Caenorhabditis elegans: one gene and its partner. The protein of the gene in region 2 interacts with the protein of the main gene of each other region in a pairwise test. Each region holds a gene or a part of one and is shown on either strand. Other genes may lie near its edges. The genes, in order: abu-11 and lys-8.

Region 1 (3,931 bases), 5.4 Mb from region 2:
GAACAACTCTGCTGACAAGCTGGCTGACACTGCGAGATTGGTTGCTGTTGCTGAATGCATTGGGTGTTGCAGCTTTGCTCACATTGTGGCTGACACTGTGGGGACTGACGAGCAACTGGAACATTGATGGTAAGCTGAATTTGTTGTTGCGTTTGAACTGGAGCTGCTGGAGCAGCTGGGGAGCAGGCTGGCTGGCATTGAGCGTCGCATTGTGGAGCGCACTGGTTCACTGGGGTCTGCTGGACTTGGCATTCCTGGTTGCACTGGGTTTGGCAAGTGTTGCACTGGGAGATGGTTCCTCCGACCTACAAATTTAGGTTGGATTTCTTTAAATCTAGATTTAGAAGTAATACTATTAATATGTTACCTGAACATTGGTGTCTCTGTATGGCTGGTAGGTTGGTGCAGCAGTCTGGGAAGCTCCTTGGTATGATGGAATGGCTCCTGGCTGTTGGTAGTTGTTGTTGGTTTGGTAGTTGTTCTGGGCCTGTGGCTGGTAGTTGACTTGGTTGTAAGCGGAGCCAGATGGCGTGGCACATTGTGGCTGGCACGATTGATCACATGATGATTGGCACTGTTGCACTGGCTGCTGTTGCTGCTGGCATGTGTTAAGGCACGAGTTTTGGCAGGTATTGCATTGACTGGCTTGTTGCTGTTGTGGTGGGGCAGTATTGTACTCGGATCTTCCGGTGTAGGCTGGGATTTGTCCTGGCTGAGCGTAGGTTTGCTGTTGGATCAATTGTTGAGAGTACTGATCATCGGATTGACATGTCGTCTGGCATTGCTGCTGGCACTGTTGCTGTGGTTGTTGTTGTTGTGGGCAAGCAGCTTGACAATCTTGTTGGCACTGTTGCTGAGCTGGCTGCTGAAGCTGAACTGGCTGAGCGCATGCGGACTGGCAAGTGGAAGAGCAAGATGATTGGCACTGGGCGATTGGCTTAAATAATATGAAATGGCTAACTGGGTTGAATTTGGTTTGACTAACCTGTTGCTGGGCAACACAGCTCTGTTCACAGGAGCTCTGACAAGTTGGTGCACACTGTTGTTGCTGATACTGTTGAGCGCATCCGCAGCTTGATGGCTGTTGAGCTTGAGCGCAGGAGCAAGATTGTTGGGCGGTGTTGGTTTGAGCTGGTTGGCAGTTGCATTGTGGAGCAGCTGGAATGGCGCATCCACATGAAGATTGGCGACGAGCGCGGAGGAACTGAAAAAGGAACGACTTAATTTTTCAACTTAATTTTTTAGTCTTCTGGATAATATCTCATTTGCAAAAAACCTTCTAAATAGGCCCTTGCAAAAAAAATTAAGCGGCAGAGGAGAACTTAGAACTAGAAAAATTTCGATCTGAAGTTGCTATTAGTGTATTTTTTTTATTACTTTAGAAGCCCGTAAAATTGAAAATCAGAAAAACCCCTTGAGTGAAAAAATTTCAGATTTTTTCAAAAAATTAAAAATTCCAAAAAAATTTACGATTGTTAGCCAGCTCCTAAACATGCTAGAAGCTCTTGAAAGTCAGCAAAAATTCACACTTGGCACATTTTTACTGCCCTCGATAGTTCGAAAGTTGTGAAAAATTCATTGAAAACTTTTCAGAACGACTTTTTTGCAGCTCAAAATACTCCCCTGTTGCTAAATTTTCAGTAGTAAAATAATGAAGTCAAACGATAAACTATTTGAAACATATATTAAGAAGTTCCTATATTTTACTTAATTCATATTCAAGTTATGCAATTGCTTGTGAGTGAGCACGAAATGTTTTAAAATTAAAAAATAAGTATTTATAATATAAGAGTTAGAAAAGGGGAACAAATGAAATATTTATAATTAGATTCATAAAAATAATACATACCACATTCTCCTCAGCAGCCACCGCAAGTGCTGAAACCGCCAAAAGCGAAAAGAGAATTGAAAATTTGGTGTTCATTTCAAGCTTGTCAGAGTGAGTGATGATTGTCCCAATACATGCTCTTGCTTATATATCTTCCCGTTGCAATCAGTTAAACATCGCCCCCTCTCCTCTACTACCACCTCTGTCCCAAATTCCGGTTTCTTCGAGTGATGCGTCTCCAAATTTTTTGCGTGTGCCTGTGTGTGTGTGTGCTCATGTGTTTGGAAGAGCAGAGCAAGAGGGGGAGGGCGTGTTGTTATGTTGACATGTTGTTATTTTTTTGTTTTTTACTTTCTAGTATTCACAAGGGTTACAGTTGAAGAACTGGAGGGACGTGATCTTTCAGGACTTGGTCGATGTCAAAAGTCTTCCGGTGGTCTTTCAGCAGCCATCACAAACTACAGCAAAATATCTTTCTTCTTTAAATAATCTTTCTGATTAATTTGCAGTCACAAATTCAGTTCCTCATTCCTCATTACTCATAGAGTTATTACAAAGACAAAAATAGATATTTGAGAGTTCACTCGGTCAATCACCATTTCTAAAGTTCTTACTTTTCTTCCCAACAACATTAATTATCCCTGTGAAGTCTAGACTATGATATAATTGTTGTTGCTCAGAAAATAATCATGGAACATATTTGCAAATAAATAGATTTTTGTATATGGTGTAAATGTCATGAGTAATATATTACGTAATAACATTCTGACAGGACAATAACGTATGCTCCATGGGGTTTCAGGACGAATGACATGTTTTCTAGAAACTACATGAGTAAAATAAATTAATAACAAGATTTTGACAAATTCAAAACCCAATGGCAAAAGTATCATTTTCAACTTTAAATGGTTATGTTTGCAAATATAAGCTGTTTTTGTTGCTCTAGGAAGATATCAGTTAAAAACTCTTTAAAAAGTTATTAAAATGTATGAAGATTGCTTTCATTATTCTCAAACTTGTCATGTAAAACATCAAAAACCTGCCAGTCTATGACCTACAAATTGCGTCAATTGTTTGATGTTCTAAACTTGGTGAGAACTAGTTTACCAGCGCTGAATCTTTTTTGTGCTCAAAGCGGAATGGAATTTTTTGATCTTAGTCATTGCATCTTTACTCTTGTGGAGGTGCACTCATACTAATATCATATCATATAACCTGATAGTCTTGCCAATATTGCGGGAAACTGATAAATCCACTCGGCAAATAGTTTTGGTGCAGTTTTCGATATTTAGTACGAATGTTTTTATAAAATTATTTCAAGGGAAACCTTGAATACTTTGTAAAATTACATTGTACCTTTTTGCAGATAGAGGTCTTAAATTCATATTACATTTTTTTACAGCGCCTTCACACCCACCCAAATCCAAATTCCGTTGAATTGTTTTCATTGATACTCATGATTTTTTGTTACCACAATCGCTCACGCTTTTCAAGAGATTATTCTTGAGGAGCATGTTTCCTTAGGATCAAGGGTGTGGGAAGAACATTGCGAGAGTGAGAATGAGCACGGAAAATGACCGGTCTTTATGAGAGCGGAAGTATGTATACACTATCTCTATCTTGTTAGACAAATAATCAACACATGTAGTAGCTAATGTAGGAATGCTAATTATGTTAAGACGTGTGGGGGGATTAGATGCTGTGAATGAGCAGTTCTACAAAAGATCAAGGGGTACTGAGAAATTTGCTCTTTTCGATAGGAAGACTCTGCAAAAGATCAGATGCATGGATTCTCAAATCACAGCGTGTATTTGAGAGCTACACAACAAAAAATGTGTACGGCTGTCGAACCGTATTATACAAAAACTTTTCAAATTAGGGGCGGGCGGCAATTGCCGTTCGGAAGTTTTTTTGTCGACAAATTCGGAAAATCGGTAAATTGCCGGTTGACTGGTTTGCTGAAAATTTTCAATTCCGGCAATTTGCTAGTTTGCCGATTTGCCAAAAATTTCAATTCCGGCAATTTAGCAATTTGCCGGAAAAAATCGTTTGCCGCCCATCCCTGATTCAAATATAATATTTGAAAGAAGTTTCACACATAAT
Region 2 (3,931 bases):
CGCAAGTTCCAAAAACCGAGCAACGAATTGCCAGATGGGTGGCAATATTAGGAGAACAATTCCGTATACGTCTTCGAATGAAACCTGCAAATTACATGTGTCGAAAACATTTCCCGCAAGCGGATTTCAGTTCTCGTGGACGACTTCTTAAAACAGCTGTTCCAAATGTTGTTTCCCAGGAGAAAGTACTGGCATTCAAGCTTGAAGGAAACACGTTCGTTGAAGTCAAAGAAGACAATACGAATATCAAAATGGAAAAGGGAACGGACTCGGAAATAGATATAGAAAATTAGAGCCAAGCTCGCATTGTTTTGTTGTTATTTGTTTTTAGATTCTCGTGTTTTGTTTTTTTGTAATAAACTTTATTTTCAGATTTTCATAACATATTGGGGGTACAGTTAGATACAAAATATAAGTAGTCAAATTCCACTTATTTTCGGAACTGATAAAATCTATTGACTTCCTTGAATGAATCCTCCAGCGTAGATCTTTCCATCCTCTTCAACAGCGTCAGCGGCCTTGAGCATAGTTCCAGCAGCATAAACATCTCTGTTGACAGTGAACTGGCAAACTTGCTCAACTTGAGCGAATTGTTTGACAGATGGAGTAGTCCAGCATCCGAACGCGCGGAAATCAGCAAAACTGGCCGGGGTCTCTCCATTGACACCACCTCCAAGGACATTCCAGTACCAGAGGAGAACATCATTTCCAATGCTGCTCCATCCGTTGGTGATCTGGTTCCAGTCGTAGTAGGAAGTGTAGATTCCGACAGTCATTCCATATTGCTGTAAATTATATGAATTTTGATATGAAATTTGTTGCAGAAGTATGAACTAATCGGTTCAGTTTAAAAACGTCTTAACCCAAAGGTCTTATCAGATTAATCAATGTTTTAGACTATAATACGAATCATTCGAGTTTTCGTATTTGAATGTATTTCAATTCCTTGAGCAAAAAATCAAGCTTCTACAGGAAACTTACTCTAGCTCTTGACACAATACTGTTGATAAAGTTGACATTGTTATTAGCATTGCTTGGCCAGTTGGTTGGAGAAGTGACCTGGATCCATACAGATCTGATTGTTATTCCTCTTGCAGTCAATCCTTGGTAGATCTCATCCAATTGTTGGTATCCTTGCTTGCTTGAAGCCGGCTGTGGAGTCATGTAGATCTCTGTTCCGAGTCCAGCGTTATACGCATTCTGAATAGTATTGCAGGAGTTGGTGTCGAAGGATCCTTGTCCAGCTGGGTTGTATGCACTGGAAATTCGATTTAATTGTTATGGAGTTTTAGAAAATGTTCATCAAATTATGAACGTTTGGAATCGAAAAATGAATTAATCAGAAACGAAAGCAGGCAAATGTTTGCCCAAGTTTGGCCAAAAATATTAAAAAGGTTCTGAAGTGACAATACATGACCAGAACTTGTTCTGGTTTAGCTCAAGTTTAATTCAACTGTTGACAATATCTTTACACTTGGGCCAACCTTGGGCAAAAAAAGATTCAACTTTTTTTTATAAATAACAATTTATAGATAGGTAAATCATAAAATCTTTTTCAATTCTTACCGGACAAAGACTGCCGAATAACCAGCTTGTTTGAGGCACTGAAGCTGGCTCAATGAAACTGGAACAGACAAATCAACAGCGAAAGCATATGAAGCCAAATTTGGTGGAACTCGTGGAGCAGCCTCAGCAATGACTTCTCTGAATTTGACTGGAAGAGATGAGTCAACGAATGGAAGGACCTTGACGGAGACTGAAGCCGAATGGCAAAGTACTGCCAGTACTGACAAAAGAGCCACTGATTTGAGAAGCATTCTAGAAAATGTTCAACTTGAATGAGTTAAGAGAAAATTATTAACAAAAAGAACAAAGAATAAGAAACCAAATTTTATAAAAATCAAATACTAAACCGAAATGTTGAAGAAACTGGAGTGGTTATCATGATTTATAGTCTTTATCAAAGAGCTGGCAAGTACCGCTTGTCCATCTGAATTTATAATTTCGGAAAACATTATCATGATATCACACTCTGTTATCAGTAACTGTGTACACACTTTTATGTCATTAATGTCGATGAAAAGAACATCACAAATTATGTGGAATACCGGTAATTGAGCGTGGGCGTTTTGATGATTTTTTCTAGGTTCAAATTCTCGTAAATGACAATTTGTTGTCTTTTATTAAATTGATAGTTCATAAGTGAACACAATTTTTTTCTGACTAACAGATAGTGGTAAGATTTTCAAAGCGATTATGCATATGTTTTACGTTCAACTTTGACCATAACAGCGAAGAAAATTGAAAGTTCTTGAAAACTAGAACTGTAAAATGTATGATATTCTCCTTCAGCACTATACCAATTCTTTTATACAAAAATCCCATTTGCAGCTGAATAAACATTCTCCTTCTTGTTCCATAATTTTTCCCATTTCACTATATTTTTACCGTTTAACATGTCTGTTTAAACTGTACTAACATCCAACGATAGCCCCTGTGAGCAATCCAATTGTTTAAAAATCATTAATCTATTTTTAATGTGAATTCAATTAGTCGAGATTTGTCTTTGGATGGAATAAAAACGAAGATGACGAGTTTAAGAAGTGATGTCATTTCCAGAGGAACAGAGAGTAAAGAATTCGAATTGTTGAAACAGCTGAAATTGTAGATCCATTTCGAGATCAATTTAGTATTTGATAATGAAAAGTGACGTGTCTGTCTATTCATTGAACAAATAACAAAAACGATAAATTTTAGTCCTGAAGCCAATTATTGGTATTTTCTAAAAACTTTGAAGATTTTTGATCCATTATTAATTTCAACTAATTCTTGGCCAAATTGTTGAATTCTTCAGTTAACGTATATTTACTTAACTTTAAAGTGGCTTCAATTATATCCAGGGACCTCTTTAGGCTCTCCTACCTACATTGGGTTTTCAGTATTTTAGTTTCCATCCGTACTTGCCTGCCACATGTCTACCTTCATGCCTGTCGTCGATGTTCTGTATTTCTTTCGTGATCCTACTGCCCGCCTGCCTGTCTATGTGCCTACCGCCTATTTCATTACTTTTAATATTATGCCACATTTTGATGTTCCAGATATCATATAGCTTGTTCTATATCCAATGTTCCTTTGAAAATTGAAAAATCAGAAATTCAATGATATCGTAAAAAAACGAATATATATTCTTTTTTAGCTTCTTCCTGTATTTACTTATGTTTTTTCCTTCTGAATACACACACATTTCTCTCTCACTTTATTATCATAAATCATCATAAAAAAATCATTGGTGACGTCAAAGTTTACATTTTTGGAGGTGCTGTGAAGAATTGTTGAAAGTCGAAGTTCTCGGTGTGATATGAAGACTTTGGAGGTTGTCGTTCAGCGATTTGATGCCAAGTGAAAGCGGATGTACGATGGAAAAACTGAAATGATAATTTGTGTAAATAAATAATATATTCAAAAAAAACTAACGCTCAACTCGACGAAAGCACTTTGAATTTCTCCGAGATGCAATATTTTGGCATTCACATACTTTTCCTTGATGAACTTCGAAATCGCTTGAGCACTTTCATCGCGAACACTTTGGGTTTCCGGCTTCTGTTGTTTGACAACCTTCAGCAGATCTCTCTTCATATCCACATACTGAAAAGTGAAACTTTATGGTTACATTTATGAAAAACTTCTGAAGAAACTAGAGCTTTGAATATTGATTCCTGATAACAAACCTTTGGATATTGACCGTAAAGAAACTTTTTGACTCTTTTGAGATGCTTGGGCCCTCGAGTCTGCAAGTTTCTTTCAGCTGATGCCAGAACGACCGCATTCTTTGCAATTGCATCGTTCATTGCTGGTTGCAACTTTGTGTCCGTTTTCCAGTTGTTTTGAGTCAACTGTACTTCCTTGTTCAGCTTCTCCGCTGCCGTTTGTC

Evidence for each region.
Region 1: the proteins of lys-8 (region 2) and abu-11 interact in a two-hybrid assay, tested with the Caenorhabditis elegans proteins (one large-scale study listed by BioGRID).

What each region holds. Positions count from the first base shown.
Region 1 is NC_003280.10:192,611-196,541, forward strand, and holds the start of abu-11 (Activated in Blocked Unfolded protein response), read right to left. Parts: upstream 1,949-3,931; 5' UTR 1,925-1,948; coding exon 1,850-1,924; intron 1,205-1,849; coding exon 986-1,204; intron 938-985; coding exon 368-937; intron 306-367; coding exon 1-305.
Region 2 is NC_003280.10:5,584,065-5,587,995, reverse strand, and holds lys-8 (LYSozyme), read right to left. Parts: upstream 1,819-3,931; 5' UTR 1,818-1,818; coding exon 1,567-1,817; intron 1,259-1,566; coding exon 982-1,258; intron 786-981; coding exon 453-785; 3' UTR 345-452; downstream 1-344. Other genes in the region: C17G10.13 (THAP-type domain-containing protein), read left to right, coding at 1-293.